4 linked regions of the Caenorhabditis elegans genome follow. The protein of the gene in region 4 purifies or fractionates together with the protein of the main gene of each other region. This does not show direct contact. Each region holds a gene or a part of one and is shown on either strand. Other genes may lie near its edges.

The links.
Region 1: the proteins of gtf-2F2 (region 4) and xpb-1 fractionate together in Caenorhabditis elegans (co-fractionation; one large-scale study listed by BioGRID). This does not show direct contact.
Region 2: the proteins of gtf-2F2 (region 4) and fcp-1 fractionate together in Caenorhabditis elegans (co-fractionation; one large-scale study listed by BioGRID). This does not show direct contact.
Region 3: the proteins of gtf-2F2 (region 4) and F15B9.8 fractionate together in Caenorhabditis elegans (co-fractionation; one large-scale study listed by BioGRID). This does not show direct contact.

What each region holds. Positions count from the first base shown.
Region 1 is NC_003281.10:11,523,538-11,530,273, reverse strand, and holds the start of xpb-1 (General transcription and DNA repair factor IIH helicase/translocase subunit XPB), read right to left. Parts: upstream 3,618-6,736; 5' UTR 3,593-3,617; coding exon 3,490-3,592; intron 3,436-3,489; coding exon 3,335-3,435; intron 2,982-3,334; coding exon 2,871-2,981; intron 1,986-2,870; coding exon 1,056-1,985; intron 1-1,055. Other genes in the region: Y66D12A.16 (Spen family transcriptional repressor), read right to left, coding at 3,813-3,979, 5,400-5,675, 5,732-5,870; such-1 (Suppressor of spindle checkpoint defect 1), read left to right, coding at 6,516-6,715.
Region 2 is NC_003279.8:9,002,996-9,011,313, reverse strand, and holds fcp-1 (RNA polymerase II subunit A C-terminal domain phosphatase), read left to right. Parts: upstream 1-2,605; coding exon 2,606-2,803; intron 2,804-2,848; coding exon 2,849-3,025; intron 3,026-3,376; coding exon 3,377-3,505; intron 3,506-3,976; coding exon 3,977-4,219; intron 4,220-4,634; coding exon 4,635-4,922; intron 4,923-5,011; coding exon 5,012-5,199; intron 5,200-5,243; coding exon 5,244-5,715; intron 5,716-5,759; coding exon 5,760-5,888; intron 5,889-6,156; coding exon 6,157-6,312; 3' UTR 6,313-6,801; downstream 6,802-8,318. Other genes in the region: rbpl-1 (E3 ubiquitin-protein ligase RBBP6), read left to right, coding at 1-234, 281-1,247, 1,368-1,793, 1,863-1,928, 1,974-2,054; syx-7 (t-SNARE coiled-coil homology domain-containing protein), read left to right, coding at 7,375-7,450, 7,507-7,586, 7,634-7,711. UniProt on the Caenorhabditis elegans protein: During the late stages of oogenesis, dephosphorylates 'Ser-5' of the heptad repeats YSPTSPS in the C-terminal domain of the largest RNA polymerase II subunit ama-1.
Region 3 is NC_003283.11:12,984,755-12,992,693, forward strand, and holds F15B9.8 (Beta/gamma crystallin 'Greek key' domain-containing protein), read left to right. Parts: upstream 1-3,801; 5' UTR 3,802-3,806; coding exon 3,807-3,884; intron 3,885-3,934; coding exon 3,935-4,019; intron 4,020-5,422; coding exon 5,423-5,539; intron 5,540-6,827; coding exon 6,828-6,958; intron 6,959-7,194; coding exon 7,195-7,290; 3' UTR 7,291-7,430; downstream 7,431-7,939.
Region 4 is NC_003283.11:18,991,584-19,000,059, reverse strand, and holds gtf-2F2 (General transcription factor IIF subunit 2), read right to left. Parts: upstream 6,121-8,476; 5' UTR 6,117-6,120; coding exon 5,970-6,116; intron 5,164-5,969; coding exon 4,676-5,163; intron 2,108-4,675; coding exon 1,951-2,107; 3' UTR 1,860-1,950; downstream 1-1,859. Other genes in the region: tgt-2 (Queuine tRNA-ribosyltransferase accessory subunit 2), read right to left, coding at 230-418, 1,181-1,714; Y39B6A.37 (Structural protein), read right to left, coding at 6,593-6,989.

The sequences.
Region 1 (6,736 bases), on a different chromosome or scaffold from region 4:
TAGTTGAAAAGCGGAAATTTTTTGATTTTTCAAAAATTGCTTGAAATTTTAGGCATTGTTCTTATTTTTTAGAATAAATATTTATTATTTTTCTCATCAAAGAACAAAATTAGATTTTTGAAAAAAATCATATTTTATAGTTTCTGAACTTTTTTTTTCGATTTTTCAGAAAATCAAAAAATCTAAAATTTATCGTTTTTCGATTTCAAATTTTTCGATTTTTTCTCAAAAACATCGAAAAAATCGAAAAACAAAAATTTTCGATATTTGGAAAAAAAAATCTAAAAATTTTCGTTTTTCGGTTTTTAAAAATTCGAAAATTTTCGTTTTTCGGTTTTTAAAAATTCGAAAATTTTCGTTTTTCGATTTCAAATTTTTCGATTTTTCTCAAAAACATCGAAAAACAAAAATTTTCGATTTTTGGAAAAAAAAAATCTAAAAATTTTCCTTTTTCGATTTCCAATTTTTCGATTTTCACGTGGTGGCAGGCTGTCCAATTACGGTTTGATCTACAAAAAATGCGGGAATTTTTTGCCCAAAAAATGTGACGTAAGCACACGTTGTTAACCATGCGAAATCGGTTGAGAACTCTGCCGCATTTTTTGTAGATCTACGTAGACCAAACCGAAATGAGGCACTCTGACCAAGGGTGTCGGTTTTTCGATTTTTCAAAAAATTGAAATCGAAAAATCGAAAATTCTCGATTTTTCAAAAAATTGAAAAATCGAAAATTCCCGATTATTCAAAAAATCGAAAAATAGAAAATTCTCGATTTTTCAAAAAATTGAAAAATCGAAAATTCCCGATTTTTCAAAAAATTGAAAATCGAAAATTCCCGATTATTCAAAAATCGAAAAATCGAAAATTCTCGATTTTTCAAAAATTAGCTCGAAATTTTCTTCATTTTTTGAAAAAATTTTAATTTTTTTCTCATCAATTATTTTTTATGGTTAATTTTTCGATTTTTCAGAAAATCTAAAAGTCGAAAATTTTTCAATTTTTTTCAGATTTTCCTCTAAAATTCTTCATTATTTTTCCACTCCTTCCACTCCAACCTTGGTCGCATCGGCTCCCGACGGTGCTGGATCCTTCGCCTCTCTAGTAAACCTGACAAGCTGTTTATCCTGAATCGTGCTCCAAAGCTTAAACTGAGCCCTCCACTGTTCGACAGAAACATTGGAATTCGCCAACACTAAACATCTCTTGTTAACCGTCGTCACAGCAGTCACTCCGACAAGCGTCTTTCCGGCTCCACACGGCAGAACAATCACACCACTTCTCGCACGACTATTTCCAAACATTTTCCGTAGGGATTTCTCCTGGTACGGACGAAGTGTAGTCGATGGTTTCAGATCAATTCCAAGGTTCGGATTCAAAGTGTCATTTCTGAAGTCGTACTCGGCGAGCAGTGGATACTCAAGCTCGATACATCGTTTTTGCACTGTTTCGATCGTTTCTTGTTTGATCTCAAACGTTAGAAGTTGCAAATTTCGAATCTCTGCGTCTTCCTCATCATCTCCATCGATTTTCCCGTAGAATTCATCAATATCAGCTGGAACTTTTCCATCTGTCGCCGCCGCCGCCGTACCGTCTGCTGCTGCTCCATCCTTTTCCACACCCTTCTCATTCTCATTTCCATGTGAGAATTTGATTTTTTCCTGTGCAGGAAGCTCGGTTTGCTGAGCAGGTTGCACACGATCATCTAGAATACACGACTGGATCACAGAGTCCTTGAGAAGCTTCTGCATAACATCGGAATGTCGCGATTCGACAAAGTATCTGTTATGCTTGAGCACAAGCTTAACCTTTCCGTAGCTCACAGTGCACATTTGAACGAATGTGATGACTCCTTTTGGCAGTTGACTTTTACTTAATCGTTCCAGGTATTCAATGATATCTTTTGTTTGTAGGCCAACTGATACAGCTGCGTAGAGAGAATAGGCAGTTAGCTGGTATTCGTGGATGTGTTGTGGACGGCAGACGGGCTGAAAATTGGAATATGTAGCAGGGATGGGTGGCGATTGCAGTTCGGCAAATTTTTTTCTCGATAAATTCTGCAATTTGCCGGACTTTTTAAATCCGGCACTTTGACGATTTGCCGGAAATGTCAAATTCGGCAAATCAGCTATTTACAAGACACGTTCAATTCCGGCAATTTGCCGATTTGCCGGAATTTTAAACTCCGGCAATTTGTCAATTTGCCGGAAACTTTCAATTCCGGCAATTTGCCGATTTGCCAAAAAATTTCAATTCCACCAATTTGCAGATTTGCCGGAAAATTTCAATTCCACCAATTTGTCGATTTGCCGGAAACTTTCAATTCTGGCAATTTGCAGATTTGCCGGAAAATTTCAAATCCGGCAATTTGCCGATTTGCCGGAATTTTAAACTCCGGCAATTTGTCGATTTGCCGGAAACTTTCAATTCTGGCAATTTGCAGATTTGCCGGAAACTTTCAATACCGGCAATTTGCCGATTTGCCGGAAATTTTCAATTCCGGCAAGTTGCCGATTTGCCGGAAAATTTAAATCCCGACACTTTGACGATTTGTCGGAAATTTTCAATTCTGGCAATATGTGTAAGAGATAATCGAAAAATTGAAAAATCAGAATTTCGATTTTTTTTTTTTGGAAAAATTTAATATTTGTTAATTTTAGGCTCAAATTTTCAGTCATTTTCCATGAAAAAAAAGTGCTGAACCTCTAAAATTGACCTGAAAAGCACTAATTTGGAATTTTTTACGGAAAAAAAAATTAAAAAATCAAAAAAAAATTGGCCAAACATAATTTTTACAAATAAATCTTTTCAGATGAATCAAATTTTTTTAAATGAATTTTTTTCAGAATTAACTGAAAAAAGACGTTAATAACCTCTGAAATTGCAATTAAAAAGTCCCTGGCGTGCTTGTAAACCGGGCTGAACGACTCGAGGAAAATATGACCATCCGGAGCAACCCACAGCGGTCTTGCAGTGAAATCACCCTGAAAATTGTGAATTTTCAATTAAAATTTGCCAATTTGGGTTGAAAAACTCGAAAAAAAGTGTTTTTTAACGATTTTTTGACCGAAAAAAACAAAAAAAAATAGCAAAAATTCGTAACTTTTTACATTTTTCAGACCGAAATTATTTTAGAATAAAGTAATTTTTACGATTTTCCCTGGAAATTAACCAAATTTTCGATATTTCGGGGGAAAAATCGTTAATTTACTGAAAATTGGGTGAAAAAATCATGAAAATTAGGGTTTTTTTGCCAAAAAATTGTAAAAATTGCCATTTTTCTGGGTTTTTCAAGCTTGTCAGACCATTTTTTCGAATTTTTAGAGCTTCTCCATACTTTCAATGGCATATCCTTTCGATAATCTTTGGCTCCAAACTCATCAGTCATCACTGACGACGCATTTTCTCCGTTCAAATTGTGCGAGGCAGCTTTTGGAACTAAAAATTTAATTTTTTAATTCGAAAATTTCCAGGAAAAGAGCCCCGCGTTACCAGAACTAGTTTCCTTGTCAGCATTTCCAGAATACAATGATGGAGCTTCTTCTGCTTTGTAGGTATCCCATTTTCCGCGTCGTTTTCGCTCTTTCGTCGCCATTTCTTTTGGAAAATTGAAAATTCGTCTAAAATACGAAAAAAAAGGAAGAAAACCGGGGGAGAAAAAGTACGCAAATACAGCGAAATTCACGACAATATGCAGACACAGGAGAGGAGCCAGAGGGGAGACATATAAATTTATAAAACAGCTAGTTCTTTTCACTAGACTTTCATAATAAAACAAAAAACAAAAAAAAAAACGAATATTTATAAATAAACATTTAATTCGATCCATATTGGGCGGCGGTGATCACGTGTACGTTGGGCGGCAGATTTTTGGGAAATTGAATGACGTTCGTTTCTTCGAAATAGACATTTCCTTCGCAGGCCACGGTGCGGCGAGACTCGATTTTTATAGTTTCGTGGACTGTTTCGACGGCTGAAATGGCTGAAATTAACAAAAAAATTGTTCATAATTATTAGAACGCGATCTCTCGCGGCACCTCACGAACTCCAGAATTCGCGGGAACTCGTTTCGCGGGGACAGCAGTTTTTGGCTTCTATAGGAAATTATTTTTATTTTTTTGTTTTATAATATTCTTGAGAAGCATCATCCGAATTTAAAATGTGTGAAATTATGAAATTTGACCGAAAACTGAAGGTTTTACAGGAAGGATTCGCTACGGCTTTCTTTAAAATGTATCAGAATCGTCAGTTTTTCGATTTCAGTCGTAAAATATGCCATTTTGTAGAGAAAAGTCTGTTTCACAAAAATCCATGTTTGACATTTCAAAATTGTTTTTATTTAAAACCTGAAAAATCGAAAAAATAAGCTTTTAAAGGTGGAGTAGCGCCAGTGGGGAAATTGCTTTAAAACACGCATATGGTACCACAATGACCGAATATCATGATAAAAATTTTTTCTAGATTTTATATGATTTTTTGAAAATTGAAAAAATCTCAGTTTTGCCTAATTCCTATTTGAATTACCGCCAATTGGATTTGTTCGATGGAGCGCGCTTGCACGTTTTTATTTTTATTTATTGTTATTTTTTCTTATTTTTCACCGACTTTTCATGTTTTCAGTGTATTTTTGTCTGAAATTTGAAGAAAAAGTCAAAATAAATGCTAATTTTCGATTAAACAGCACGCTTACAGGCGTTAAATTAAAAAAATGCATTTAAGCGATTTCGAACCCGAATTAATTAATTTCAAAAAATAGCATTTATTTTGACTTTTTCTTCAAATTTCAGACAAAAATACACTGAAAACATGAAAAGTCGGTGAAAAATAAGAAAAAATAACAATAAATAAAAATAAAAACGTGCAAGCGCGCTCCATCGAACAAATCCAATTGGCGGTAATTCAAATAGGAATTAGGCAAAACTGAGATTTTTTCAATTTTCAAAAAATCATATAAAATCTAGAAAAAATTTTTATCATGATATTCGGTCATTGTGGTACCATATGCGTGTTTTAAAGCAATTTCCCCACTGGCGCTACTCCACCTTTAAAAGCTTATTTTTTCGATTTTTCAGGTTTTAAATAAAAACAATTTTGAAATGTCAAACATGGATTTTTGTGAAACAGACTTTTCTCTACAAAATGGCATATTTTACGACTGAAATCGAAAAACTGACGATTCTGATACATTTTAAAGAAAGCCGTAGCGAATCCTTCCTGTAAAACCTTCAGTTTTCGGTCAAATTTCATAATTTCACACATTTTAAATTCGGATGATGCTTCTCAAGAATATTATAAAACAAAAAATCAAAAATAATTTCCTATAGAAGCCAAAAACAGCCAAAAACTGCTGTCCCCGCGAAACGAATTCCCGCGAATTTTGGAGTTCGTGAGGTGCCGCATACATCTGTAATCCCTGCGAGTTTCGTTTCTTCGATGGTGTTCCTTCAATGGACGTCGGTGGTTTTCTCGTCTCTTATCACGCCATTGATGCTCCGATCTCAAAGTGCCATTACTTTCAGATTTGGCGGGAGACTTCAGTTGCTCCATATCTCTCGACAATCCACGTGACGATGAGAAATCTTGAGTTGCGTAGGAATAGGCTCCATAATACGAGTCACGGGCCGCTTGATTAGCTTTTTTCACATCTTTTTGGTCTTCCGAGTCGGAGGACGGCTTGTCTGAAAAATGAAATAAAAAGATTTAAAAAAATAAATTTTTAGCTTCAAATAAATACCGTCAAAAAAGGATCCAGCTCCTTTACCGAACATTTCAAATGGCTCAGTTTCTTGTGTGCTCGGCGCTGGCCAAGGATTCGGTGCACGGCTCGTTTCTAAATTTCTTCCAAATAATTCTTCTACGGCGATTGAAGTCATTTTTTATTGAAAAACGCGTTTTAAAGTGAGAAATGCGTGGATTTGCGCATGAAAAAATTTTAAAACACACAAAAAAAAATTTGAATGACAAAAAATGTCGTGGCGAGACCCACCGCGCTACCGTACCCGATTCTCTGCGTCTCTCTCGATGTGTGTGCTGAAGAGCGGTCTCTCGGAAAACAAAATTTAATTTGTTTTGTTTTTATTTTATTTTGAAGTCGAAAATTTCCGTTTTCCCTATTGTTCAGTGTATTTTTTTCGGAGAAAATCAATAATTTGTCAGATAAATTGCATTTTCCATCATTTTCGCGCGAAAAAAACCGTCCAGTAACACATTTTCCGATGAATTTAGGCCCGAATCCCTGTTTTCTGGTTTTTTCTCAATTTTTGTTCGATTTTTCAGTGTTTTTTGCGCAAATAATCAATAATTTGCCGAATAAAGTGTATTTTCATTTGTCGCATAAAAAACACATTTTCTCGATTTTTTGGCAAAAATTCAGATACATTGCTAAATAAAATGTATTTTCCATGATTTTTCTCAGAAAATTCGTTCAAATGCGCCACAGACAACTTTTTGGCGCGCGCGCGCTTTTCAAAACCCGTTTTCCCTCATTTAAATGCATTTTAACCTCAATTTCTTCCAGAATGCCTCCGAAAAAAGCGCAAACTCGACGAATCGTCAGTCTGGATTCACTTTTTGGCCATACTCTACTGAATATCACCGGCGAACCTGTGACACCAACGAAAATCGCCATTTTTCAACTAATTCGCACACTTTTTCACGCACATTTCGGAGTTGGCGCGGTGCCAAGCCTGAAGCCTTTCGATAAGGATGAGAAAACTCGGTTTTTTGGAATAAAAATGTT
Region 2 (8,318 bases), on a different chromosome or scaffold from region 4:
TGAAAAAGAACGTCCAAGACGCGCGGATGAGCATCGAAGAGATAGAGATAGAGACCGTGAGCGTGATCGTGATCGTAGCCACAGAGACGTTAGAAGCAGCGGAAGAAGCAAGGATATAAAAGCGTCTTCATCACATCGTAGAGATCGTGACGACGCTAGAAGAAAGGATAGAAGGCGTGATGATGTAAGGAAAAAAGAAAGGCGAGAGAAAAGAGAGGAAGAAGATGATGATCAGTAAGTTGAATTTAAAGTTTCCTCCTTTCTACATGAAAATTTTCAGAAAAACCAAGGATGCTGAGTCGAAGGACGAAGATGAGATCGACATCGACGGTATCATTGCTGAATATGGTAACGTCCAGGCACAAGACACAGATGGAGATGCACAAGTTGCTGATGAGAATGCACAGAACGATGAAGATTCAACTTCTCCGAAAGAAGAGAGCGTGTCTCCAAAACCTGATGAAACTCACGAGGAAGATGCTGACGAGGAACCAGTTGACGAAGAAATGGACACAGAAGTAGTTGTACGTGACAAGTCAATTGATCCCGTATATCAAGCAATGGAGACGAGTGAAGCTGAAGTGGCGGAGACAAAAGAGGAATCAGTACCAGTTGAGGAAGATGAGGAACCTGAAAATCACGATGAAGATGTGGAAGATCACAAAAAAGAGAAAGAATCACAATCGTCTACTATTAATACAGCAGATGAAGATGACGAAAGTTCCAAGAAAATGAAGAAACACAAAAAAAGTAAAAAGAACAAGAAACATCATCGGAAAGAGGAAGACGGTGATGAGGATGAGGAACGAAAACGGAAGAAGCACAAGAAGCACAAAAAAGAGAAAAAGTCAAAGAAGGAGAAGAGAGATGAGGATGAGGATGATCTTGATACCGAAAAGAAAGAAAAAAAGAAGGAAAGAAAGTATCAGGATGATAAAGATGAGGATTCTAATAGAAAAGAGCCAAGATCTCTAGATGATGAGGACAAAGTGGAGTTGGACAAAAATTTTGCTGACAAAAAAGAAAAGAAGAAAGGAAAATGGAATGAGGATGAAGAGGACATCTTCGAGGATAGAAAAGAGGAGCTTCCTAAGGAATCCGATCGGAGAGACAGGAAAGACCGTAGACATGATGATGAGGATGATCGTAAGGAACGTCGGCATGAAAGAGATTCTCAAAAAATTGATGAGCAAGATAGAAAGAAAGAGAGAAAGCGAGATCGAGAGACCGAGGCATATGACAGTGATGTAAGTTTTGGTTTATTCTTATTTTTAGATTAGTTGTTTTAATTGTTGATTGTTTTGAGGAAAAATTTAGCAATCAGAAATCATCTTCCGGGTTTAGGAAAAATGAACAAATTTTTATAGAAATTGCAGGCCCCCAAGACAAAGGTGAAGCGTGAAGACAAGAAGCGTGACGATCGGAAAGATTATGAACGGGACAGGGAACGCAGGAAGGATGACTATGAAAAGGAGAAGAGTAAAAGAAAGGAGAGTGATCGGGATAATGAAAAAGAGAAACAACGCGAGAAGGAAGTGGAAAAGGAACACGAGAAGGATCGCAAAGAGAAGCGGAAAATCGTTGAGAAAGAGTCTGAGAAACCACGAAAATCGGTTCATGAGCGTATGCAGAAAGCTGACTCATCCACTTCTTCAAGCTCTAGAACTACTACTGCTCCATCACTTGAACGAAAACCTGTCTCGTTTACTGTTGCTTCGAGCAAACCAACGACAAACATCAGAGTTCGTCAATACTCGTCCTCATCATCAACCAAGGAACAAGAAGATGAAGAAGTACGTTTTATTCACAAATATTTCACTAAAATTCAATTAATCAAAAAATATATAATTTAAAAATTTTAGCGGTCGAAGCGGGATCGCCGGAAGAAGGACGAAACTGACGTGGAGAGCATTGGGGAAAAGGAGAAGGTAATTTTTGTTGTTTTTGAAGAATTTTAATCTTAGATATTTCAGAAATCTTCGTCTCGAAAAGTTCCAAAGGAGAGTGTAGATGTCAAACACAAGAGTACCAAGATTAAATTTGATCTTTTGTAATCATTTTTGTATCTATATTTGAGTTATTAATTATGTTCCATCCTATTATTCGTTTTTCTCATATTCCCCCCTATTTTTCTAGTTCTTCTTAGAGGGAACCACATCTACTGTGACTTTGATTCTCTTTTTTCACCATTATTTTTTTTTTCTAAAAACGCTTCCATTTTTATTCATTTTTCGTCCCATCTGTGGAATTATTCTGTTTTTTTTTCACTTTTCTTGTTCCTGTTGGAATAAAAATTCCGTTTTATTTTTACTCTATTTTTACCTTTTTTCTTATTTTTATCCCAAAATTTCTCGGTCCTGAATTTGCCGCAAATAATATCAGAATGGCTAATTTTACAGATTCGATTTCAAAAAAAGCGCCGAAATTAACCTTTTGGTAATAAAATCGAAAATTGAAAAAAAAGTTTTGGAGAGAATGCGTACATATGTATTTTAGATGATGAACACAAAATTGTTGAAAAATTTTACTTTTAAATAACATTTAATAATTCAATAACAGTCGAATTTGATATCTTAATTGAAAAGATATAAATATTCTTTTCCAGATGGATATTAAATTTGAAGGAAACGATGCCGAGTGCACAGCTGGCCTGAAAAAGGCCAGTGAAGGAAGTTTTGTATTGAAAGATCACGTTCTGATAGAATTCAAAATCAACGGAAAAGTGGCGGGAAAGATAAAGACACCATGTGAGGGTGTAGTTACTTTTGGAAAAGGTCTTAAACCAGGAATCGTATTGAATAAGGTAAATTGAAATTATTTATTCAATTGAAACTGTTTTCATTTTCAGGGTCAAGTGATTGCTACAGTATCCGAATGTACTCATGCAATTGTTATCAAAGATATGTGTGCAACATGTGGTAAAGATCTACGTGAAAAGGGAGGACGAGCCGGTCAGAGAAAGGAACAATCAACGGCTAATGTATCTATGATTCATCATGTTCCAGAACTTATTGTGTCGGATACGGTTAGCATCATTTTTATTACCCGGATGCGGCGATTTTTTCAATAAAAATACGGTAACCGGTCTCGCAAAACGTTGTGCGCCTTTAAATAGCTAATGCAGAATTTTCATCGTTTTTCGAAAGTTAATTAAAACTTTAAAATAAAGCAAGTTTAAACTATTTTTAAGTAAAGTATACGATTTTGAGAAAAATAGAAAACTTCATGAAAATCCCATAATATTACAGTTCTTTTTAAAGACGAACATATTTTTGCATTTATCAAAAATTGTCGTGTTGAGACCGTGAACCGCATTTTTGGCTCAAAAATTCGCCTACTAGGCAAATAATATTTCGATAAAAAACTTTTTTTTCAGCTAGCAAAAGAGATTGGATCAGCCGATGAAAACAATCTGATCACCAATAGAAAACTCGTATTGCTTGTTGATTTGGATCAGACAATTATTCACACTTCCGACAAACCAATGACTGTGGATACTGAAAATGTAAGAATCAATAGTTTTGACGAAAAAAAAGTTTTTTTTCAGTTTTTCTCAGAGAAAACTGAAAAATTGAAAAAAAATGTTCCGAAAATTAGCAAAAAATTAAAACACAAATTTAACGAATTTTGGTCGTGTCGATGAAAACAAATAATTTCAAACAACCATATAATTTTCTTCTAGAAAAAAAATGGCCAAAATGTAAAGCCATTTTTCGAAAAAAAAAACACTTTTCAGAAAATTAATAAAGATTTCAAAAAAAATTTCTCATCGAGCTTCTATGTAAATGATAAAGTTAGAAAAGCATAATTTTCTTATCGTAATAAGAAAAATCGACAAAAACTTTAAATTATTTTCCGAGAAACCTTTTTTCTAATTTAATTTTGGTACAAAAAAATTGTGTTTTTTGATTTTCTAAAATTATCGAAAAATTGTCACTCTTGATAGGAATACTCATATATTTTCTATAAATTTCAGCACAAAGACATCACCAAATATAACCTTCACTCTCGTGTTTATACCACTAAACTCCGACCACATACAACAGAATTCTTGAATAAAATGTCAAATATGTATGAAATGCACATTGTTACCTATGGACAACGTCAATATGCTCATCGTATTGCTCAGATTCTTGATCCAGATGCTCGACTCTTTGAACAACGCATTTTGTCTCGAGATGAACTATTCTCGGCTCAACACAAGACCAATAATTTGAAGGTATAATTTTTAAAAATTAAAAATAAAAATAATTTCAAACTCCAATGGAGTTTGCCCAAAATTCGCAAAAATCACGAAAAAAGCGAAAAACTAAAAACTATAATTTTAAAGTCATTTAAAAGTTTTTTACAAATTCTTCGTTTTTTTGCTCTTTAATATAAAAAAACGGAAAGTACATTTTTTGTCAAAAAAAAACACCATTTTTTTTAAAGCGAAAAACAAGAAATCTTCAGCCCTGAAAACATGAAACTCGTAGAAAATATTAATCGATCAGAATTGTGATGAATGAAAAATGAGTTTTCATCAATTTTTCGACTGTTAATGAAAATTTCAAATTTTTAAAAAGTGTTACCATGAAATTTGGTTTTTTTTTAACATCATAGAATAAGTGTTAAACACAACAATTTTTATTCAGGCTCTATTCCCATGTGGCGACAATCTTGTAGTGATTATTGATGATCGATCAGATGTCTGGATGTATTCTGAAGCACTTATTCAAATCAAACCTTATCGATTCTTCAAAGAAGTCGGCGACATTAATGCTCCAAAAAACTCAAAAGAACAAATGCCAGTTCAAATTGAAGATGATGCTCATGAGGATAAGGTTCTTGAAGAAATTGAGCGAGTTTTAACGAATATTCATGATAAATATTATGAAAAGCACGATTTAAGAGGATCCGAGGAAGTGTTGCTTGATGTAAAGGTAAATTTTCATTTTAAATATTTAGTTATTGAATTATTATTCTAAGTTGAATATTTAAGTCTTTTGGACTTCTAGAAGTTGATTTTCAGGAAGTGATCAAAGAGGAACGACACAAAGTTCTTGATGGATGTGTCATTGTTTTTTCGGGAATCGTACCAATGGGTGAAAAGCTTGAAAGAACTGATATTTATCGTTTGTGTACTCAATTTGGAGCAGTTATTGTACCAGATGTGACTGATGATGTTACTCATGTTGTTGGAGCAAGATATGGAACACAGTTAGTTTTATCATTTTAGCATTTTAAAATTCTTTTATTTTCAGAAAAGTTTATCAAGCCAATCGTCTCAATAAGTTTGTGGTCACAGTTCAATGGGTATATGCTTGTGTCGAAAAGTGGCTTAAAGCAGATGAAAATCTGTTTCAACTAACAAAAGAAAGTACTCCTCCAGTTGGACGTCCACTTGGATCAAAGTATGTCAATGATTTGGCAAATATGGACACAATTGGGAAAGCCGCGTTAGCTGATATGAATAATGAAGTAGATGAAGCTCTATCGGATGATGAAGACGATGGAGACAATGAGGATGAGGATGATGATGGGAATGATGTTGGAGAAGATAAGGGAGATGAAAATTTAGAAGAGAAACAAGAGAAAAATGAAGAAGAAATGGATGATGTTGAGCAGAATGGATCTGTTGAGAATCAATCAGGAGATGCTTTGGAAAACGAGACAGATTCTACATCAAGGGGACAGAAAAGAAAGCATTGTCCTGAAATGGAGGACGAGGAAGAGGTAAGAAACTTGAAAATAATTTATTCCAATAATATTTATTTCAGGAATCAGATTCTGATAATGAGGATGACGATACCCCTATGTCGTACAAAGCACTTTTGTCAGATTCACGCAAAAAAGGTCGAATTGTTCCAGAAAACGAGGATGATGCAGTATTTGATGTTGATGATGAGGTAAAAAGGGCGGCAAGTATAAAAAATTGAAAATAAAACGGAAAGTTTTGAATTTATAGTGGCTAAAATTAATAGTAGTGAATTTTTTGAAAAAAGTTAAATTTTGGCTTCTTGAGCTTAAAAATATCAATCCAAATCGTTCCAGTGTCTAGAATTTATCGAAAAATACGACATTTTATCGATATTAAACAAAAATTCAAAGAAACACGTGAATCATTATTCCTGCTTGGGAGATCAAAAGTGTTTTGAAAAAAAAAGACTTTTACAGAAAGGCCACGCACCAGCTAATATAGATGAAGAAGAAGATGACGAAGACAATGAAGATGAGGAAGTACCGGAATCTGATGATGACGATGAGTTCGAGGATATGGCTGCATTGATCGAACGTCAGATTAGCGATGCAGTAGATGAAAAAGATCAATGAGTTTTCTGTGAAATCATCATGTGCTATTATTGTTTTCATTTCCTATTATTCTTTCAGTTGTTTCCCATCTTTTACATCTCATAATTATCACCCCCGTTCCCCATTTGATTCGATACTCAATGTTTTCTGTACTATTTACCTCCATTTAAATGGGAATAATCTGACAATTAATGTCGGCTGCTTGATCAGAGTGATTTTCATCAAATCAATCAAAACTTCACTAGAAGCCTGCATTTTTGTCATATATAAACGTTCACGGTTTGGAATATAGATTGCTTTTTATTCACTTATCTTTTGCCTTTTGATTGTAAATTCAAGAAAAGTCTGTCACTATGGAGTTATTCATCTTTCGATTGCTTACTTAAATACCTCTATTTTCATTTTATCGAATTAATTTTTTTTTCTAAATCGCGTCATTGTCTCATTTCTTCTCTCGTTTCACGTTGATCGTTATTATTTTTTTCTGAAAATGAATGAGATTCATTTCTATTTTTCTTGCTGACGCTTTCGCAATGCCGTTTGATTCGGAAGTATGATTTATTTTTTTCGAATTATAGGATTAATGTATAGTATTTGTTACGCGAGACCAAAAAAAGTTTCATGTAACAAATGTAGTACAATGTTTACATTTCCACAAAAATCAATAATTTACAATTTGTATACAATTCAATGTGGTCTTATATTACACAATCAATCGTTTCAACAACACGTTTTGCCGAACTGGATTTTTATCGATCTTTTACTATTTCCTTATTATTAAAAGTTATTAAAAGCTATATATTCGCAAAAAGTTTTGAAAAAAATTGGTAGAGTGATTAGCTATTGAAAAAACTTATTTCATTTCCTTTTAGTGACTAGTTTATTTACCATTGCAGTGAAAGTTTATGAAAAAAGTATTTACTTTTCTCTTTTGAAAAGAAATATTTTCTCGCATTTTTTGTCTATAGAGCATTTTTGCACACACGCGCACTAAGCGCCTTTTTTGTATGTATTTTCAGCGGTTTTTATCGATTTACTCATTGTCAAGAATCTTTTCAGTTTGAAGCCTATCTCAAAGCCAGAATGGATTTCAATCGAGATGCCGGCAATGAGACAGCCAGTCAGCTTCAACTCAATATTCAGAATTTAAATCAACAAGGTTTGCACGAAATTTTTTATTAAAAAAAACACGTTGTACACTAAATTTCGTTTCAGTTATTCAATTGGAATCCTTTATCACAAATCTATCAGATAGCAGTGAATCAGGACAAAGAGAACGGGAGCTTTTCAATCGCGTTAGTTATTACTCTCTATTAATTAATATTACATTAAAATATTTCAGAAAGCTCATAATGCTCAGGAACTCTCGAAGGAAACCAATGCCCTGCTGAAAAGATTAGTTGTGATGAGCAACTCTGATGTGAGTTTCAGTATAAATTTTTATATTAAACTTTGGTGAAGGCAAAATTTTTCAATGAATTTATATTTTAAAAAAATTATCCTAAGGTTTTAAAATTTTATAACATTCAAAAATAAATCATAAAATCACACGATTTTTGTTAAATAAAAAAAACTTAAAAAAATAATTTGAAATAATCTTATTATCAAAATATATAAACTGGCATGTGTAAAGTGGCTTATTTTTTATTTTGTTTTTTATTCAAGCTCCTCCCATTCCTGACCTTTCGTTAAAGTTTGTATTTATTAGTTCATTTTAAAAAAATGGGAGGAGCTTAAATAAAAAACAAAATAAAAAATAAGCCACGTTTCACATGACAGTTTATATATTTTGATAATAAGTGGCCTATTCAAGTAGTATCGGAAAATTAAAAAGTGTAGAAAATGACGTCACAACTATATTAAAATACATGTTTTTGTATGTATTTGATTACAGTTGTGGCGCCATTTGTCTACAATTTTCCGACTCTACTTGAATAACCTCATAAATCAATTTTTAAATCCGAAATTTAAATTTTCTGAAAATTGATTTCAAACTCATTTTGTATTGATATTCATATGAAAATAGG
Region 3 (7,939 bases), 6.0 Mb from region 4:
AAAGAGAGAAGGAAGAAGTGAAGCGGAAGACTACGAAACAATCAGTGAAAGATTTTGGTTGGAAAAGAGCTTCACAAGGGCTTACTCATCACTTATGCAGCTACCATTTCCTTGGGAAAACAGCGAGGTTTCAAACTCAGAATTTTAAATTTGATGACCTTGAGAAAAGGACACACTTACCGGTTTTAAATCTGCAGTTGCTAAATGTACAGAGGACTTGCAAACCAAAAATTGTGAACTCTAATTTCTGTTTGTTTTTTTCGTTTTCGAAATTTTTTAATACTTCGAACTTTTTGAAGATTGCTTACCTGCGAGTTTTTATCATGCTTTTCAAGTTTGCCGCTTGAAGTGATATGACAAAGAAAAACGTTGCAGGCTGGGTTACGCGCGATTTAAATTTCAGCTGTCATTCTTAAACTTTACATATTCTGGCAAGGTATTTATATATTAAAAGACCAATTCGCCTAATTCTACTTGAGAGTATTCACTGTGGAGCTACAAAAAAATTCCAAAAGTAAATAAAGTTGTCGAAAAACGGTTTTTAAAAATTTGCAAAGAGATTCATTTGAATCTGTTTATGTTGTTCAGAAATATCCGAATCTTTAAAACAACTTTTCTCAAATTAAAAAACAAATGATTGTTTTTTCCCTTGCAAAATTGCAACAATGAACGCCATTACGTGACTTTTTGCGAAGAAACATGACTTTTTGCTAATTCACATAAAAATTTCAATGAATATTTTCTAGTTTAAAAAATAATCGTATCTTGCAAGGTTTTATCAGGCTATATTATAACAATTATGATTTCTCTTTCAAATCTTGATATTAAAGTTCTTGTCAGCAATCATCACAACATATTATAGTTACAATAATCAATTGATCATGCATTAAAAAACTCACCTCCTTATTTTTTTCCAATTTTAACAATAGTTTTGGAAAAGGAGACCAGCAAATTGGTTCGGTTGGCGCCGAAAAAACAAAGGCAGAGTTAGCGTTGGAACGTGTCAATTGTGTGTGCAGAGAGTATGAATATCGGAACCAAATAATAACAAATTCAATTGCTTGGCACCACAACCATGACGTGTAGAATAGGTTTTAGTTGTTGAGACGAGAAGAAGCACCGAACGAACGATTTTGCATATTTGACCTTGTTACCTCTCCTTATGGGAAAAGGAAATTCAATGAGTGGGACAACAAGTAGGGAATAAAAGAGCTCCCGATTTCATGAATAAAACCGAACAGAATGTGACAAATTGTAGGTCTCACGGAGTCGAACGGAAAACAGGAAAGAGCGCGAATATAGGCGTGCAAAGATTTCAGAGATGCATTACGTTTTCCGCCGTTTCATTAAACGAATGGGAGTCAAAAACTGAAAGATTGGTATCATCTCATCGATGAAATTGACAGAAAATATTCCACACGAGTAAGCTTCCCAAAACTAGAAATAGTTACTATATTTTACATTCTGATAATAGATTTTCCAATTAAAATTTTAATAATTTATTCTTTATTGATTACATTACTCAAAAACATAATTATCCCCGACCACGAGAGCTTTTTAAAACTTTGACCAAGCCGGACTGCTTATCAACTGCCGACCGGCAATTCTACAAAATCAGCTAGTGATGCTCTCTCTTTAATTAAAATTAGTAGTTTTAAAAGAAAGAAAAAATGTTTTCACCATCTGAAAATAACGTTTGTTTGATTTGGAACAACTGAAAAAGAACTCAAAAAACTAAGTAAGTAGGTTTTTTCCTGCAATTTTCAGCTTTTACACAATTTTGAGCACTTCTTCAGTTGTTTCAAATGAAACAAACTATATTTTCAGATAACGAAACAATTGTTTATACCTATGTTGTACTTTTTTGATTTTTTTACCAATAGGAATGCGTAAAGCATTTTTTTAAAGAAAAAGTCAGTCTAAAATCACAAAAAATTGAAAACTTCAATGAGGAATGATCTTTCGAATTTTATGAATTTTATGTTCGTTGATGTTTTCTTCTCAAAACTGATTTCTTAACTGTCTTATGTTCAAATCGAACACATCCAGACGTGTTCCTTATTCAACTAATCGTCATTATCCAGTTTCAGCAATGAAGTGTAATAGAGGGTGAAAAAGGCAACATCTTCGACCCGGTTATCATCATCAGCAACCCTCTTGTTTCTTTATCACCTCTATTTCTTCATTTGCCAGTGTAATGCACTTTTTCATCGATGGGCCACCGCCGACGGATCACGGCATCCGTGGCATGCATTCCTATCTCTTCAAGGATTCCCTTCCTCTTTCCACCCGCCAATAATCAACAACTTAATTTCTATTCAGACCGTACCTGTTGTTCACCTCATCCCGATTGATCTTGTCGCCAATTATCATTTTGTTTAGTTGTGTGTTGGGGAGATGGCTATACCTGAGAATTTGAATATTATGAGGGCAATGATAACGAAGAAAGGAACACATATGGAAAAAGATATAAAATACATTGAATATGGGAGGAGGAATAATTATAATAGACGAAGATTGCATCGAGGTCTTGAAATTTTGATTTTAGTTATTCAAATTTCAAAATAACAGCCATCATTTTGTCGGTTTTTCTAAGAAATGGTCTACATAGTTAAAGGTCTATTGTTTAAATAAACATTGATACTCATTTTTAATTTAATATACAAAAGTTGGAGTTTCAAAATTACAAGATTAAACAGTGGACATGGACGAAAATTGCAATCCGTGCTCATTACACTTGAAAAGCTTTTTTGAAACTTATATTAGTAAAAAGCTAGGTCCCGTACACCATTTGTAGGTGCAAATTATCTCAACTCAAATCAATCACAGGGAAAATCTTTTCGTACAGACATGAATTTTGTTCATTAAATTTGAGCCTACACCCTTTTTCTGATTGTAGCTCCCAAATGACGTGTGTGAACAAATTAAACCCTAGAACTCTGTACCATATTAGTTACAAAAAAATACTCGTTAGAATTGTCAATATGATTTTAGGCTTCTATTTGCTTCAAAAGGTCAAAATTCTATCACGTGCTTCTCAAGTCTGACCCAGAATATCTTAAAACTCTTGCTGATATCGTATCGTTTCCGCCTAGGTAAATCCACTCTCGATTTTTTATTCAAAGGATCACATCACAATGAAAAACCCTCGCACATTCTCAATATCCAATCATTAGACGGAAAAATGTGGAAAAATGCCGAAAAAATCCAGTTAGCCATGTAAATCGCGAAGGTTGATGATGCATCAAACAAGCGGACAACATTGCAAAAACTCGATTTTTTTCTCGCTTTTCCCTCAACCCATTTTATCGTTATCGACACCAGTCTCCTCATTGCGAGTGCCTCCGCCCTCCGGATGACTATTTCGGCCCCTTTCCCCCATCTTTTTGTCGACTATCCACAAATGTACAAATACATGAGATTAGATGCGTACCTTTCATCAAATTTATCCGTGATTATAACTTTTGTCGTTTTCTTTTTACTTTTTCTTATCACTTGTCCGTTCATGGAATTGGATATGAACGTACACATTTGTATTACGCAACAATATATTCTACATGTACCCGTTCCATAAGTGGTGATTATTTAGAGAAATTGTCTAGAATCTAGAACTATTAGTCACGCCTTACTGACCAGATTTAAGATACTAATGAATAAATGTGAAAGTGGTTTGATTTATTGGCATGTTTATGCCATTCACACGTCATTTCGATTTTCCCTATAAATTTGTATTCTTTTTACTATTTTCTCACATACTTATTTTTTGCTTATTTATATTTTCTGATTCCTACCCAATTTCAGAAGACATGAACCGGTGCATCTTGCTCGCTCTCTTACCCCTTATTTCAGCGATTCCAGTTGCTGTTAATATAGATGATCAAGACGTAAGTTTTTTGTTTTAGTGGTTGAAAAATAAATAGAGAATTAATTATAGGCAGTGAATTTGGGAGCTTACGATCGAGCACGATTTGATCTCGTAGAAAGTTTCCACCCTCTTCAGCCAGCTTCTGCAGTTACAAGTAAGTGAAATGTTTGCCTGGTGGAATCAATAGATATAAATTGTTTTACAATTATTTTTGAAAATAGATTATTGAAAGCATGGCACTAATGAAAAATTTAGTCTGCCGGCTGTGATAATTAATCACTTTACCGTATGCTGACACTGTAGGCAAACATTTTTACTTTCAATTTTTAGGAGAATGTCTCTAGAATACCTAGCGAGCTTTATGTAGGCACAAAATTTGTTTCTGTTTTTCAGGATAGGTTTATCACAAAATTTAAGGTATTCATTCATGTTGTTTAGTAACATTCGTTAGCGGCTAATTTTATTTTAGAAAAACTAGGAGAATGTAAAAAAACACAAAAACACCGGAAAATAAAAGATTAGGAAACTAACTTACTTACAAGGGGAATATGATATGAAATTGGCGCGGAGGGAAAGCTACTAGTTCTCAAATCATTTGAAAGTAACTCGACACCTACCTGAAGCTAAGGGACACGCTGGCTAATTGTGAACAAATATTGTTCAAAAAATTCAGTCTCATACAATTGTTTGTCAGCTTTTACTTGTTAAAAATATTGGCATGGGATTTAGTTTTCGGAGAAAGAAACACAAATAACCCATTTTGTTGAATCGTTTATTTAAGATGCCGAACACTTTTTGAAATCTTCGAGACTGTAATTATTTGATAATATGTAAACGGTCAAAATGTTTGATTTGGTTAAAAATGAACATTTTGGTGTTTATCTTAATTTTTATAAAGGCATATTATTTGCGACATATCTAGTTTTCTAATATTTCCAAGTTCCTGAAAAATGAACTGTTCTGAACGAAAAAATATTCTTAAAGGTAGATATATTGTTAAAAACAACTGCTATGATGCTAAAACGACCATTATAGCAAAACTTCCATATATCATATGAAAACTTTCCAAAAAATTTTTTTAAACATTTTTATTGACAGTCAAAAAGTGGTAATTAGTGAGTTTTCGCTACTTTTTGATAAAGTTTAAGCATTATCAAAATTTTGAATCCCTTCATTGCTTGGATATTAATATTTCAAACATAAGTAGACTGTATGTAGAATTCGAAGGAAAATTTTTGATTGACGAAATTCAAAAAACAAATGGCAAAAATTGAGATCTTCCCAATTTTTTAAAGTTTTTTGAATTTTTTATTATTATGATAGTTGATTATGGTGGTGCCACACTTCTCCATCTTTAAAATTTCAGTGCTGAACAATTCTTTAAAATTCACAGATTTCTCTAGAGTCTTTAGAGCAGAAAATAATTTGAGAAAGCACTGACGTATTATTGTCAAATGTTTGTCAATATTTTTACAGCCATAGAAAAATGTTTTAAAATCTTTAATAATGAAAAAATAAATAGTAAATTGATTTTATAAAATAGTGTGAAATTTTCAGACGATCAAATTGCTGAAGTGCGTGCCAAAGCAGCTGGTGTGAGGCAAAACGAAGCTTCAATTTCAATTGACTTGCCAACACAAATGCTTTCCGGGAGTTCGGGAAGAATTCCAGAAAGTAAGCCACTAATTGACATTTCTCTAACACGTGTGACCATATCGGAGAATAGAAAACAACAAAAATCAAGAATTATCACATAGCTGTGTGAGCTGCTCGGACATGGCTCCGTGAGAATAAGCGCGAAAGTCGTAGAAATAGACACGTTTTAACAAAATTACTCTATCGGTTAAAGAAAGCTTTGGAGCAGGGCGTCTAAACAAAGAAAGAAGGAATGGAGAAGAAGTAGGCGGCTTTGGAAAAATAATAGAGAAAAGGACGAATATTTTAAAATATTATGAGACAAACTAGGGGCGCAGGGGCAACATTCTGAATTTTTGATTGAAATTTGACGACTACTCGGAATTATCTATTAAATGATCTTCTATTAGTTATTTAAAGGATTAGTTGTTATTTTTGACATTAAAAAAAATAATCCAATTTTTAGTTTAAGAACTTGGAGAAGACTACAAGTCAAAAAAAATCGGGAAAGAATCTGCAGGGTGTGTCCTCACAGAAGATTGTTGTTAATTAGTAATCTTGAACTTTAAAATTTAAGGATTCAACCGAATCAATTTTGAAATTTTGAGACTTTTTGAAGATGGATTTTTTTGTAAGTTTGTATTATAAATCAGCAAAATCAGATTGGAAATATGTTGAAGTTTTTTTGCAACTATTTTAAAAAAATTTGAGTGGAAACTAACTGAAAAATAAGAAAAATAATTAAAGCTTATACTAATAAAAATAAAAAAAAAAAACCAAAACCTTATTTTCTGTTTAAAGTTTATCAAAATTAGGCGAATTTTATTGAATTTAGCCGAGAATTACAGACAAATTTAAAAATGAAATAATATTTTGAAACCTACTTTGGGTATTTTGAAGTTTTTATCCCAAAAAAAGAGACTTAATTTAACTTTAAGAAAAAATCACGATTTGAAATGGAATCAACGAACAGCTCTTTGGCTTCTCTATATTGAAAATTGTAGTTAACAATTTTCCGAAAACGGGATTCGTATTTATCAGAATCATATTTCTTATGATTTAGTATAATTTCTTGGAATTTACTATCAAGAAGAATACAAACACTTTATAAAATATTTATGACAGAACTGAAAGACGCATATAATATGAGATATAAAAAGAGCTAAACATGAAAGATGTATCCACTAGTAGCATCGTGTCTAATTCGATTCGATTTGCAAGTTTCAATATTTTGTTGTTGATTCCCTTGAGAGATTTGAGAGAGTCTATCACATTAGAACATTAATCTGTTCTTATCTCTTTTTCTCTTAAAATAATCACTTTTCAGGATTGGCGTTCGGAGAATGGACTGAGTGGACTTCATGGTCAATGTGCCAAAATGGAGAGAGATCAAGAGTTCGTACATGTGTTTCCAGAAAACCAGCTCTTCGTGTTGTATGCCACGGAGATGCTATTGAGGTGAGATTTTCCTTTTATATAAAATTATTCAGTGATAAGTTCATTGAAATTAGGTGGTTAACCAAAAAAGTTTTCCGCGGATCATATTTCTCCGAGTTTATACAATCTGAAGAGCAATTTTTGATGAGAAGCTTCATTTTTTTGTTGGTTTTTTGTAATAAATTTTTTTTGCAATAATTTAAAATCTGAATTATTTTCAACACGGAAGAAATTGATTTCAATTAATGTTTTTACAGATTGAGAAATGCTACGTTGACGCCGGAGAAGGTCATATTCCAGTTGCCGCCGACCCATGGTCCATCGAACGTGAGATTAGCGGAGATTTTGCCTAAATCCGAACAATTTCCGAAGAGAGGAGCACAGAGACCTCTTATTTAATAATTCATTCATTTTCTCACAGTCAGTTCTCGAATTGTATGCACTAATTGTTATTTTCGTTTTCCAATTCAATCTAATAATAATTTATTTATTTATTGTTTTTTTTTTTGACACTGCAAGAGAGGTCTCAAATGGGACCTACAGGAAAAATTGAATCGGTATTAATTTTTCAAATGCTCATTAATGGGAATAACACAATAATGACAATTATGAGAATTTTATTATTAATTTGAATTCACAAATTGTTATTGAAAATTTATAAGTTTTGTTGAAATATACTCACTATCAAAATAGTAAAAACAGAGAAAATTAAGGCATTTGTCATGTTTGAACCCCTAAAATGCTTAGGTACAATATTAGAACATGCTTCAACTATTTTTAAAAATTCAAAAATGTTCGAGCAGTTTTAATATTAAAAACAATGCAACATTAAGCAAATTTTTAGAATAATTTCTCCCCACTACTCCACGTTAAATTTAAAGTGAAATTTCAAAATTTGACTCAAATAAATGAAACTCCTACATTTAATTTTAGAAAGATCATAATTGTTTGAACGAAGTTCAAATTTTTCAAAACATTTATTTTCAAATTTCAGAAAATAAT
Region 4 (8,476 bases):
TAAGCAGCGCCCAAAACTTGTAGTTTGTAGTCTAAGCAGCGCCCAAAATCACATTTTCGCTCAAAATTAACCAAAATTGCCGATTTTTTTCGCAATTTCGAGGGAATTCACGATTTTCAATGGAATTTTTATGAATTTTCAGCGGAAATTGCCTCAAAAATCGTTAAAAATGCTCTTTTCATCTATTTTTTTTTCGCAGAAAAGCCAAATTTTCAGTGAAAAAACGAACAAAAGTCTCCTCCAGGAGCTCTTTCATCTCCTTATCGTCAGTTTCCTTTCCCTCTGTGAATTCGCGAAATTCGACAGTGTATCCAGCAATATTTTCAGCCAATCCAACGTCAACTGCACATTTCCTCCGATGATACTTGCTGAAACCACCGCCCAGCGACACAATTCGTTCTCCATTCACTTTTTCGTCCTAGAAAATTTGCGAAAATTTGGTGTAAAAACTATGAAAATCGCAATAAATTTAGATTTTTACACAAAAAAGTTGTAGTTTTTGTAGTCTAAGCAGCGCCCAAACTGGTAAAATTCAGGCTTTTACACCGATTATTTTGCAATTTTTTCGGAGAAAAGTTGTGAAAACTTTCAAAAAAGCTGGAAAAAAGTCATTTTTCAGTTCAAAATCGAGAAAATTGTAGTTTGTAGCTTTAGCAGCGCCCAAAATTGAATTAGCAGCGCCCAAAAATTGTAGTTTGTAGTCTAAGCAGCGCCCAAAATTGAATTAGCAGCGCCCAAAATTGTGTAGTTTGTAGTCTTAGCAGCGCCCAAAATTGAATTAGCAGCGCCCAAAACTTGTAGTTTGTAGCTTTAGCAGCGCCCAAAATTGAATTAGCAGCGCCCAAAAATTGTAGTTTGTAGCTTTAGCAGCGCCCAAAATTGAATTAGCAGCGCCCAAAAAATTGTAGTTTGTAGTCTTAGCAGCGCCCAAAATTGAATTAACAGCGCCCAAAAATTGTAGTTTGTAGTCTAAGCAGCGCCCAAAATTGAATTAGCAGCGCCCAAAATTGTGTAGTTTGTAGTCTTAGCAGCGCCAAAATGAAAAAAATCCAGGTTTCAACCGATTTTCACCAAATTTTCACCAGTTTTTCACAAAAAAAGTCATTTTCATGCTAAAATGTAGCTTTTCATTCATTTTTTCCCCTGAAAAATTCAAATTTTTAATTGATTTTTTCGCTACCTGCTGAAACAGCTGCTCTTGGAAGGTTTTCGTCCTATCCACCGCCTTAACAAGCTTCTTCTGTCCAACATCTTTCGGTGTATCATAGTCGACAAGAGTCTCAATAGAGCCACAACCAAACGAGTTAATAATTTCCCGCCACATTTTAACATCCAACGAAACTTTTCCGTTTGCCGTCCAAATCGCGACGGATTTCGAGTCATTATACCCTCCGGGAAGCTTTCCAAGCGGGTCAAACGGTGTCAGGTGAACCGCCGCGCCTGCAGGCATCCCACAAAATTTCGCAGCGCCTTTTCCGAATTTCTCGATAATTTTCGCGTTTGACACCAGCGTTGGGAGCGTCATTTGAAAAATGTGGGTTTGTTCGAGTTTCAGCTGATTCTCAGCAACTTCCCATGTCAGGTGGGGAATATGTCCGGCTCGTAGGTAGGTTTGAAAGGATGGGGTCTGGTGGTTAACCTCCACGGAGCCCCATGTGTCGATTTTGCCCAAGCGGCCCAGAAGCGTCTTTTTTTCGATTTGAAATTTGACCATTCTGAAAAAAAAAGAAGTAAAAAATCAATTTTTTTTTCCTATTTTTCTCGAAAAAAAACGAAAAAAAATCTGATAATAAATAGAAAACTGGGCTAAATAACCCAAAATCAACGAAGAAATCCAAAAAAAAAAAAATTCAAAAATCCCCAATATTCACAAGTGTTCATCATGTTTTTAAAAAAGAAGAGATGTATAGTAAATAAATAATAATAATAATGTCCAAAAAAAAGTTGGAATTATTCCGATTGTGCGTTGACTTTGTAGTTACAGTATTCCGGTTTCAGGCACCACAGAGACTTGTGCGGTGGAGCAGTATTGTAGACGGCAATCTCTTGGAGCACTTCTTTGACGTAGCTGACCGGTTGTTGAAGGAGTTGCTGAAGATCTTGAAGTCTGAAATGCGAGAAATTGTAGTTTTTGTAGTCTAAGCAGCGGCCAGCCAAAAAATCCGAAATTTCATCGAAAATGCACAGAATTCTAAGAAGTTAGAAATTTTGGAGGAAACTAGTGTGTTTCTCGTTAAAAATTCCAAAAAATACACTAGAAATGTGTGATTTTTCATTATTTTCGCATATTTCGGCTTGAAAATCGGAAATTTCTAGCGAAAATGTGCGATTTTTGAAAAAACTTTGGAAATTTTGGCAAAAAAACGAGGTTTCATGTAGTTAGCAGCGCCCAAAAACTTGTAGTTTGTAGTCTAAGCAGCGCCCAAAACGTTGAAATGCAGTTTTTAATCGATTGATACCAAAATAACACCCAATTTTTACAGTTTTTTGTGTGTAGAATTTCCTAAAAAAACTCAACGAAAGGTGCAAAATACGTGGAATTTCGTCAATTTTTGCCTATTTTTTTCAGTTTTTCTTGGGAAAATCTGTAAAAATCCCTTTAAAAATGAGTAAAACGTAAAATTTTGACACTTTTTGAATGAAAATATAGATTTTCTTCCATTTTTAATTGAAAAATCGCCCAAAATTGCAAAAAATTCGGATCAGCAGCGCCCAAAACTTGTAGTTTGTAGTCTAAGCAGCGCCCAAAATGGAATTAGCAGCGCCCAAACTTGTAGTTTGTAGTCTAAGCAGCGCCCAAAATGTAAAAATTCGGATCTTGAACCGATTTTAACCGATTTCCGCCAATTTTTAATATTTTTCGGTGAGATTTTGTTTAAAAATCGGTGTTTTCTGCAGTTTTTTTTGGTGAAAAACCATGAACCTTCAAAAATGTAGATTTTTACTCATTTTTTCAACAGAAATTCAAATTCTCGGCATCAAAATTCATTGGCAGCGCCCAAAACTTGTAGTTTGTAGCTTTAGCAGTGCCCAAAATCTTCGAATTCAGATTTTATCCGATTTTTGCCATTTTTTTGTGGATTTCTGGCAAAATTTACTTTAAAAATCGGTTTCTATTCGAATTTCCAGAATTTTTACCAGTTTTTAATGAAATAAACTGTAGTTTTTGTTGTCTAAGCAGCGCCCAAAAATTCGTTATCAGCTCAAAATACTGCAAATTTCCAGTAGTTTTTTGTGGGAAAACCACATTAAAGGTGGTGTAGTCGACTTTTTTAATCGCCTTATTAGACTCAAAATTGTCTAAAAACACCGAATTTCATAATGAAACTTCTTGAAAACTTTTCAGAAAAGAGTTATGACGGCTCAAAAAATGGTCTAAAATTAGTTAAAATCGGAAATTTGACTTGTCAAGCGGCTCAAAACTATTTGTTTTTGAAATCACCGTCAAATTTTAAGTTCACAAGTTGATTATCTTGCGTTTTGAACTTGATTAAGGTATTTAAAAATCGATAGACGGCGAGTTTGGGTTTGAAAAAATTAAAAATCTCGCCGTCTATCGATTTTTAAATACCTTAATCAAGTTCAAAACGCAAGATGATCAACTTGTAAACTTAAAATTTGACGGTGATTTCAAAAAAAAATAGTTTTGAGCCGCTTGACAAGTCAAATTTCCGATTTTAACGAATTTTAGACCATTTTTTGAGCCGTCATAACTCTTTTCTGAAAAGATTTCAAGAAGTTTCATTATGAAATTCGGTGTTTTTAGACAATTTTGAGTCTAATAAGGCGATAAAAATAATTCGACTACACCATTATTAAAACTTTCAAAAAATTCACTGCAACTTTTTCCTCACGAGGGACGAGGAAAAGTGGTTTCTAGGCCATGGCCGAGGGGCCGACAAGTTTCAGCGGCCATTTATCTTGCTTTGTTTTCCGCCTGTTTTCTTTCGTTTTTCACAGCCTTTTCCCGTTTTTTCTTAATAAAACTGATAAATAAATACTTTTTGCAGATGCTAAAACAATTTCCAAGTAAAAAAATTATGTATTCAGTCGGCAAGCAGTGGTGAAAATGGTCAATGTAAAATGATGGATTACGGGAATACAAAACCTAAACTTTTTCTGAAACATGATACATATGATGCTTAGATGCTGAAATTACCTGATTTTCATAACGAAACCGCTGAAAAAGTTTTAGGGTTTTCAAAATTCAACTTTTTTGGTGAAAAAGTCGAGATTTTCGCACAAAAAGTTGAATTTTGGAAACCTCAAAACTTTTTCAGCGGTCTCGTTATGAAAATCAGGTAGCTTCAGCATCTAAGCAGCATATGTATAATGTTTAAGAAAAAGTTTAGGTTTTGTATTCCCGTAATCCATCATATTACAATGCCCACTTTCACCGCTGCTTGCCCACTGAATACACTTTTTTTTACTTGGAAATCGTTTTGGCATCTGCAAAAAATATTTATTTATCAGTTTTATTAAGAAAAAACGAAAAAAATCGATGAAAAACGAAAGAAAACAGGCGGAAAACAAAGCAAGATAAATGGCCGCTGAAATTTGTCTTCCCCTCGGCCATGGCCTAGAAACCACTTTTCCTCGTCCCTCGTGAGGAAAAAGTTGCAGTGAAAAAGGCCAAAACAACACAAATTTTCCGTAGTTTTCTCGAGTATTTTACCTATAAAAACTATGCTTCTCAAAAGCTTTGAAAAGAGCTCCACGGAGCACATCTCTATCAGCTCGATAAGTTTTAGCTCCATCCTTCTTCTGTTTGCTCTTAATCATATCTTCAGCATGTACAGACACGGGCTTAAACTTCACAGCCGCTTTTTCAATCATTTTAACCGTTTTCTTTGGTTGAGTATTTTTCACAATATGTGCCAACTTCATTTTCATATATTTCGACGTGGCCGGTGGCCGACATTCCGCTTTTTTGATAATTCGTCCCTCAATTGCCAGTTTTCCAGTTTTGATTGGAGCATCTGCACCGAGTCCCTGCTTATCTTCGGATAAAACGCTCATTGTTTGAGATTTGACGTCATGAAGAATAAATGAGTATTCTGTTGGAATTTCCGAGGCTTCTGGTTGGGTTACTGTAGATGATGAGCCCTCTGTGGGCTCTTTTGGTTTGGGATGAATGAGACCTTTGGCGGTGTGAAGCTCGACCTGAAATTTAAATTTTTAAACCAAAAATTCAGTTTTCGGAGAAAAATGTCCTAATTTAAGCATTTTTCCCGTGAAAAAACTCTAAAAATGAGCATTTTTCACTGTAAAACTAGCGTTTTAACTTGAAAAATCGATTTTCAACCGAAAAACAATTAATTCCACTGAAAATTTCATTGAAAAATCGATTTTCTAAGCTTCTGGTGTATTTTTTTTTTCAATTTTTTCAGAAAATTTCATTTTTCGGTGAGAAATTCAGGCTTTTTTGATCAAAATTGAATTTTTAGCAGAAAATTTCAAATTTTGAGTTTAAAAAAGCAGTTAAAATTTAATTTTCTTAAAATAATTTCGAATTTTTCCGCATTTTCAGTAGAATTTCGAATTTCTTGGTTCTTCTTCAGTGCATTTTTATGTAAAACACAGAAAAATTGGTTAAATGTCAAATTTTCAGTGGAATTATCCAGTTTTTCCGGCAAAAAATCGATTTTTGTCAATTTTTGAGACAAAAATTCAGATTTTCGAGGAAAAATGTCATTAAATTGAAAATTAAATGCCGTTTTCCACATTTTTCAGATTTTTTTCATTTGAAAACCTGAGGTATTTTTCTGTCCAAAAAACGACGGTTCTACCTTATTTTTGAATTTTTTCCCAAATTTCATATCTTTTATGATTTAATCGATGTTTTTTCCTTTGAAAATCACATTTTTGACCAGAATTTCAGATTTTTCCGATTTTCCACACTATTTTTGGGCCAAAAACTTCATTTTCAGCATTTTCAACAGGATTTTCAATATTTTTTCCAATTTTACCTGCGCTCCAATCTGCAATTTTCCAACAACATTTCCCTCGTTGGCATCCCAGAGCTCTGACAAATATCTGGGCACTTTTACAAGCCAAATGCTCCGTTTTGCCAGCTCACAGTCGACGTCATTCGAATATCGCTTCGTTGGGCTCATTTTCCTGGAGAATCGAGAGTTTTACAGGGGAAAATAGGTGGAAAAGCGATGAAATCGAGGAAGAAATGAAAGAATTGAGAAAAAATCGATAAATTTGCAAAAAAAAAATCAATTAATTTTTAAAAAAAATCGATAAATTTTCAGAAAAATCGATAAACTTCCAGAAAACTCGATAAATTTGCAGAAAAATCGATAAATTTGCAGAAAAATCAATTAAATGAGAGAAAAATCGATAAAGTTCCAGAAAAGTCAATAAAATTGCAGAAAATTCGACAAATTTCCAGAAAATCGATAAATTTGCAGAAAAATCGATAAATTTGCAGAAAAATCGATAGCTTCGAGGAAAAAACAATAAAATCCTGAAAAATAAAGCGAAAATCAATATTTCTCGGGCTAAAAACCCTCAATTTTTAACAAAAATTTCAGCAAAAACCCGGCAAACAAGTGATTTTTATTGGATTTTCAGCACACAGTTTTCAGACTCGTTGTCTAACAAATTCCAATATTTTCGAATCGCTGACACCCTCCCAGCCGGGCGGTGTAGGCAACTGAAAATTCGCCATTGCAGCGGATATCTGTGCCAATTTGTCACCATCAAGCGGTATTGTCATCGATTTTTCCTCGGAAATTTCCAGTTTTTCCACATCATTTTTTCTCACAAAATCATCCGGAGATATCACGAAATTGCACCATAATCCAGAGCTCGTGGTGACGTCATCAAAGTTATCGGTGGTGATGACGTCATCCTCATCTTCTGACGTGGTGGCACATGGAACATTTCCATCACCAATGATTTGATAACCTTGTGGAAATTCATCGTCGGTTTCAGAGCATTTTGTGGTGGTGGTGGCTACTCCGAAGCGCTGTGTTGTGCTGAAAATTTTAATTTTGGGAATTTTTAACCGAAAAATGCAGAATTTCCGCATAATTTTGAGCTAAAATTTGGAAATTTCGGTCTAAAATCTTATTTATCAAGCATTTTAGTGTAAATTTCATTCTTTTTTTTCGCACTTCTTAAGCTGAAAACCCCGGATTTTTGTCGGAAAACGGAATTTTTGGAGCAAAATGTCCCGATTGCTAGTGTTTTTTCTGAAATTTATCGATTTTTCGTATATTTTTGAGCTCAAATTTCAATGAGAAAATGTCTTTTTAAGATCTTTTTATGGGATTTCATAGATTTCAGTGCGAAAATTGCAATTTTTGAGGAGAAAATTGGAGATTTTCAGTTTTCGGCGATACTTTTCAGAAAAAAAAACTGATTTTTCCCTTGAGCAGCGCCCAAAAGTTGTAGTTTGTAGTTTAGCAGCGCCCAAAATTGAATTAGCAGCGCCCAAAACTTGTAGTTTGTAGTGTTAGCAGCGCCCAAAACTTGTAGTTTGTAGTTTAGCAGCGCCCAAAACTTGTAGTTTGTAGTCTAAGCAGCGCCCAAAATTGAATTAGCAGCGCCCAAAACTTGTAGTTTGTAGTCTAAGCAGCGCCCAAAATTGAATTAGCAGCGCCCAAAACTTGTAGTTTGTAGTCTAAGCAGCGCCCAAAATTGAATTAGCAGCGCCCAAAAGTTGTAGTTTGTAGTGTTAGCAGCGCCCAAAACTTGTAGTTTGTAGTCTAAGCAGCGCCCAAAATTGAATTAGCAGCGCCCAAAACTTGTAGTTTGTAGTCTAAGCAGCGCCCAAAAGTTGTAGTTTGTAGTTTAGCAGCGCCCAAAATTTGTAGTTTGTAGTGTTAGCAGCGCCCAAAACTTGTAATTTGTAGTCTAAGCAGCGCCCAAAACTTGTAGTTTGTAGTCTAAGCAGCGCCCAAAATTGAATTAGCAGCGCCCAAAAGTTGTAGTTTGTAGTTTAGCAGCGCCCAAAATTGAATTAGCAGCGCCCAAAAGTTGTAGTTTGTAGTGTTAGCAGCGCCCAAAACTTGTAGTTTGTAGTTTAGCAGCGCGTAAAATTGAATTAGCAGCGCCCAAAAGTTGTAGTTTGTAGTTTAGCAGCGCCCAAAATTGAATTAGCAGCGCCCAAAAGTTGTAGTTTGTAGTGTTAGCAGCGCCCAAAACTTGTAGTTTGTAGTTTAGCAGCGCGTAAAATTGAATTAGCAGCGCCCAAAAGTTGTAGTTTGTAGTTTAGCAGCGCCCAAAACTTGTAGTTTGTAGTCTAAGCAGCGCCCAAAATTGAATTAGCAGCGCCCAAAACTTGTAGTTTGTAGTCTAAGCAGCGCCCAAAATTTGTAGTTTGTAGTGTTAGCAGCGCCCAAAACTTGTAGTTTGTAGTCTAAGCAGCGCCCAAAACTTGTAGTTTGTATTCTAAGCAGCGCCCAAAATTGAATTAGCAGCGCCCAAAACTTGTAGTTTGTAGTTTAGCAGCGCCCAAAAT